Linked DNA regions of Arabidopsis thaliana. The protein of the gene in region 1 interacts with the protein of each later gene in a pairwise test. Each region holds a gene or a part of one and is shown in the gene's direction. Other genes may lie near its edges. The genes, in order: AGL91 and NAC024.

Region 1 (3,102 bases):
AAATCAGTGGAGGGAGTTCAAATTGCTCCTCATTTAGTGCTGTTGATTCAATGTAGTTTGTGGGTTTTGTATGGTCTCCCTGTTGTTCACAAGGACAGTATTCTCGTCACCACTAGTAATAGTATTGGTTTCGTTAACGAAGTAATCTTTGTGGTTGTCTTTTGGATCTGCTGTGAAGACGAATCACGTGTAGGTCCATCTTTTATACTTAGATATGTCTAATTCTGCATATTGATTTTGATGATGTTGATGTTGATGTGCAGAAGAGAAATGTTAATCTATGTCTTCTGGCTGTGTTTGATTTTGTGACATCGTTCTATGTGATTACTATTTGGGCAATTCAAAGTTTATTCGCCAAGTATACACTCATTGGGATTGTTTGCAACATTTTCAACATTTGTATCTATGTTTCATTTGCCAAGGTAAAGCTTTCACTCTCACTCTCACTCTCACTCTCATTGATGGTTAAGTATTAATTAGCGGTTTTGATTAGTTTTTTTTGTTTGTAATTCGTGCAACAATTAGAAAAAAATGCTGGAGAGTAAGACCTTCAAGTACATGCCGTTTTGGCTGTCGTTAGTTAGTTTCATCAACGCTGGACTTTGGACGGCTTATTCTTTGATCTACATAATTGATATCTACCTCCTTGTAAGTTTTTTTTTTCTTTTTTTTTTTTGGCTTGAAAACTTAATGTATTTACTCCCTCTGTTTTATATGATAAGATATTTTAGAAAAACATTTAGATTTCTATGACAAAAATTAAATTCATTCAAATTTGTGACTATGTATATTCTACATTAAATTTCACCATTGGCTAGATTATCTATAATTAAATATTAAGTTATGTTTTTAATGTAAAAAATATAACAAAAAAATTAGTTAGATTCTTGAACTTTGTGCTTTTATCTAAGACATATAATAATATTTTGAAACAGATAGAGTGATTAATTTTCATTGATTGAATTTCATTTATAACATCTATTTGTTTGTTTTGTGTTATGGAACAGATAAGCAGCGGTTGTTCTGTGCTTTTCAATTAATAGTCCACGCTTGTTCTCTCTGTAAGAGCCAGAAAATTACTCCATCGGAGTCATAATTTGTTTTTACTGAAATTCTAATTTTAAAGCTCTACGATCTAAAATAAAAGAAATAACGAAAAAGAAGAAGCCAAACCGTTTTTACTTTTTTAGGATATGGACAAACAAGTATTAAGATATTTAAGATAATTTATATTAATGGACTTCATTATATATAACATACTTACTTAAAATAAATTTAATTGGGTTCAATACCATAAAAATTTTACAGGTGTCAATTGTCTTAGTGGACAAGAGTCAACTTTTATATATAGAAGTCTAACTAATTTTGCAAAAAGTCAATTGACCCACGTAATAGATTTAGAGACTTATAGAGTTTCGATTTAATTATACCTAACAAAAAAAAAGGCTTAATGGGTTAAACGCATTGCAGATTATATTTTTATTGAATATAAATAATGGTTTAATTTTAAATGTACATAGATGTTTATGATTAATTATACCCAGAAATAATACTATTTAAAAAAAAAATATGACACGTAAGATTATTACTATAATACATAGAAGTTAATATTTTTTTAATATGTGTTTATTATTTGTCAAACTACTATTATTGTTTGTTGGGTGGAAATAAACTATTTTGGTAAAGAAGAAATTTTGTTTATTAACTTGGTAAAGTTCTCCTTGTAATTCAAACTACCATTTAATAAGAGGTCTAATAGTAAGATAATACTAATAATAGTTAAATATCTATGAATATTGATTAAATACATGGAAAATATTCAATGCTCTCATAAGGTAATGCAAGATTTTCAAAGTGGAGTTACTAAATATGTATATATATGCAAAAACAAAAGTTTACTAAAAATATACATATATGATGATGAGGTTCAATAACAACTTTCTCCACATTCATTACTATAAATACATAAAGAAATACAATCTTCTTCTTATATACACAAACATAGATTACAATCACTCAAAACATTTCACACAAAAAAAAAGAAATGGGTAGGAGAAAGATTAAGATGGAGAAAGTGCAAGACACAAACACGAAGCAAGTTACCTTCTCAAAACGTAGGCTGGGTTTGTTCAAGAAAGCGAGCGAGCTTGCGACTCTGTGCAACGCGGAGGTTGGTATTGTTGTCTTTTCTCCAGGAAACAAACCGTATTCCTTCGGGAAACCGAATTTTGATGTGATTGCAGAACGGTTTAAGAATGAATTCGAAGAAGAAGAAGAAGGAGATAGCTGTGAAACATCAGGCTATAGTAGAGGCAATAGAGCTAGACAGGAGAAGAAGATATGTAAACGCCTCAACTCGATTACTGAAGAAGCTGAAGCTGAGAAGAAACATGGTGAAGATCTTCACAAGTGGCTTGAATCTGCTGAACAGGATAAGTTCAATAAGCCCATTGAGGAGCTTACGCTTGAGGAACTCAAGGAATTTGAGGCTAAGATTAAGAAAATAAGCTGTGGGATCCAAAGTAACATTAGTCATATGCAGGCTTCGTCTTCTCTCATGTTTCTCTCTAATGATAATTAGCAGTTATGCAAATGAGAAGGCAACAGTAACAACACCGATTTGGAACTTTCATTTTGTATTAGTCGTTATAGATTTATATGGTAGAGATGTAGCAGATGGTTGGTACAGGTTTATTGATTGTATCTTCCTCTTGATGATCGATGGTTTGTAACTTTCGGTTGCCAAATATTACTATGAAGATTTTCTCTTTTCAAAAACAATGAATTATAACAATATCTCCTACTCTACAAAATTGATAATGATTACGATATGAAATTTTAAAGCGTTATTTGTTTTTTTTTCTCTTATATTATTATAGATTTTGTCTACACACTCTAGATATTTATCTTTAATTAGAAAAAAATACATAAGAGTACACCAACTAATTAACATATTTATAAATGTGTTTTTAACATTTTTAAGTTTTAGTCAAAATAGTATCAAAATACATAATTTGATGTATGTCCTATATATCTTATTCCAAATTATTAAATATTACCTAAAACAAAAATACAGTATTTTTGTAATTGTATTCTATGAAT
Region 2 (3,338 bases), on another chromosome or scaffold:
TTGCCTCAAAGAAACCAAGACCTATATTTGAAAAGAATCTGCCCTTTTCAATTGCCTCATGCAACCCTCAACGTTATCTATAAATGTTGTAAATGTTTATATGTCTTGTGTATAACAATTCCTTCCAACAATGTCATTGAGTCAGCCAATAACACGGACCGATAGTGCACCCAATGGAGCATTTAGGACTTTTGGTCTCTACTGGTGCTACCATTGTGATCGTATGGTCAGAATTGCATCCTCTAACCCATCAGAGATCGCCTGTCCTCGATGTTTGAGGCAATTTGTCGTTGAGATTGAAACGAGACAACGGCCTCGGTTTACTTTCAACCATGCTACTCCGCCTTTTGATGCTTCTCCTGAGGCTCGTCTTCTCGAAGCTCTCTCGCTCATGTTTGAGCCTGCAACCATAGGTAGGTTTGGTGCAGACCCATTTCTTAGGGCAAGATCCAGAAACATCTTGGAACCTGAATCAAGACCCCGACCGCAACATCGAAGACGACACAGCCTTGACAATGTTAACAATGGTGGTTTACCTCTACCAAGAAGAACATATGTTATTCTCCGGCCCAATAATCCGACTAGTCCACTCGGAAACATAATTGCGCCACCAAATCAAGCACCACCACGGCATGTGAACTCACATGATTACTTTACTGGAGCATCAAGCTTAGAGCAGCTGATTGAACAACTAACACAAGACGATAGGCCTGGACCACCACCTGCGTCAGAACCCACCATTAATTCCCTACCATCTGTGAAAATAACACCACAACATCTAACTAACGACATGTCCCAATGCACAGTGTGCATGGAAGAATTCATTGTTGGTGGGGACGCAACGGAATTACCATGTAAACATATTTACCATAAAGATTGTATAGTCCCGTGGCTTAGGCTTAACAATTCTTGCCCTATCTGCCGCCGTGACCTGCCACTTGTCAACACCGTTGCTGAATCTCGAGAAAGGAGCAATCCTATTAGACAAGACATGCCTGAAAGAAGGCGTCCAAGGTGGATGCAACTCGGTAACATTTGGCCATTTAGAGCAAGATACCAAAGGGTTAGTCCAGAAGAAACAGCAAACCAGAATCCTCGAGATAACAGGAGCTAACTCTGAATATTCCATGGGAAATAAAAATCGTGACTATCTATATGTATAGACTCTATGAGACATTGTCTATTTGAATGTGCATGTATATCTCAGAAATAAACTCAAGCGAAACATATTTAACGACTAGAGAAAGCCCTACCAAGCCCATAGCGATAAGAAGGACTTGCATGCTATAACAAAAATAATTAGTGGAAAAAGACTGTAACCTTGAGTAAACTAAACTTCTCTCTCAAATCTTACTGCAGTTCTGTCTTAGTGGTCTTACTGTAACATCCTTTAGTTTCTTGAACCCATCCATTAAAGAGGGAAATAAAGTTGCGAAATAAAGAGAGATCATCAAGAGTCAATTGGTCACCACGAAAATTATAAATAACGGTCGCTACTAACTTAAAAGCACATTTATTCTCTACTCTCTTCCTATTCGCTTCGTCTCCAAGAAACAAACACTCATTCTTGCGTTTGATCTTTCTTTCTCTAGATCCCATATTTTTCTTGATCAATTTAGTTTCATTATGGAGGAAGATGCAGCTTTTGATCTACTCAAAGCCGAACTCTTAAACGCAGAAGACGATGCAATAATCTCACGTTATCTGAAGCGTATGGTCGTCAACGGAGACTCATGGCCTGATCACTTCATCGAAGACGCAGACGTGTTCAACAAGAATCCAAATGTGGAGTTCGATGCTGAGAGCCCTAGCTTCGTGATAGTTAAACCTCGAACAGAGGCTTGTGGTAAAACCGATGGATGTGAAACTGGTTGCTGGAGGATCATGGGTCGTGATAAACCGATAAAATCGACGGAGACTGTGAAGATTCAAGGGTTCAAGAAGATTCTCAAGTTCTGCCTAAAGAGGAAACCTAGAGGATACAAGAGAAGTTGGGTAATGGAAGAGTATAGGCTTACCAATAACTTGAACTGGAAGCAAGATCATGTGATTTGCAAGATTCGGTTTATGTTTGAAGCTGAAATCAGTTTCTTGCTAGCCAAGCATTTCTACACTACATCAGAATCACTTCCTCGAAATGAGCTGTTGCCAGCTTACGGATTCCTTTCATCAGATAAGCAATTGGAGGATGTATCTTATCCGGTGACGATAATGACTTCTGAAGGAAACGATTGGCCTAGCTACGTTACCAACAATGTGTATTGTCTGCATCCATTGGAGCTCGTTGATCTTCAAGATCGGATGTTTAATGATTACGGAACCTGCATCTTCGCTAACAAGACTTGTGGTAAAACCGATAGATGCATTAATGGTGGTTACTGGAAAATTTTGCACCGTGATAGGCTGATCAAGTCAAAGTCCGGGATAGTTATTGGTTTCAAGAAGGTGTTTAAGTTTCATGAAACGGAGAAAGAAAGATACTTCTGTGGTGGAGAAGATGTGAAGGTAACTTGGACTCTAGAAGAGTATAGGCTTAGCGTGAAGCAGAATAAATTCTTGTGCGTTATCAAGTTTACTTATGATAACTAAGAATCTTTTCTTTGGATTTTATGATCATCTTAGTATCTTGAGGACATTCTCTTTAAAACATATATCGATAGTCTTTGTGTTTATATTTCTCTGTTCAATATGATTTAGAGACTAGTGTGCTTTTTTCTCTCTTTCATGTGGTTTGTGATTGTGAGAGGAGAGGCTTTTTTGTCGCTGCAATATTTTAAACCCAAAATAACACTAATCGCATGTAAACAATCGATATTAGCAGCAATCACAAACATCAGAGACAAATTGAGCCTTATGTAACCAAACATGTACATATGATTCGACAACAACCTACATGTTTCTGAATCAGCAACCCGAACAATCTATAAATTAAATGAAGATCAATTAAATTGACATGTTTTTTTATCTGCTAAGCAGAGATTGTTGTTGTGTTGATTTCTCGTGTATATGCACATGTAGCCTTTTTGGTTGCCAGAGACTTAAGAGAGAAAGAATATTTTCCTCTGTTTTAAGAAATATTCAAAGAATGCCATGGACTAGGATATAAAATGCCATGGTCTAATATGATCCGTTTTAACATTATATTTATACATATGTCAACGAAACAACTATCATATATTTTAAGCTGATACTAATTTAAGCAGACCAGGAAAAACAAAAAAAAAAGTTTATAAATTTTTTATCCATTATAGCAAAGTCAAAATATCCGTGGACGAAGGGTGGTAGCGAAATAAAGAGACATCATCAAGGGTAAATTGGTCACTACGTAAAGATATAAT

The links.
Region 2: the proteins of AGL91 (region 1) and NAC024 interact in a two-hybrid assay, tested with the Arabidopsis thaliana proteins (one large-scale study listed by BioGRID).

Annotation. Positions count from the first base shown.
Region 1 is NC_003074.8:2,090,741-2,093,842, reverse strand, and holds AGL91 (AGAMOUS-like 91), read left to right. Parts: upstream 1-2,044; coding exon 2,045-2,581; downstream 2,582-3,102.
Region 2 is NC_003070.9:22,240,524-22,243,861, reverse strand, and holds NAC024 (NAC domain containing protein 24), read left to right. Parts: upstream 1-1,626; coding exon 1,627-2,589; downstream 2,590-3,338. Other genes in the region: AT1G60360 (RING/U-box superfamily protein), read left to right, coding at 131-1,114.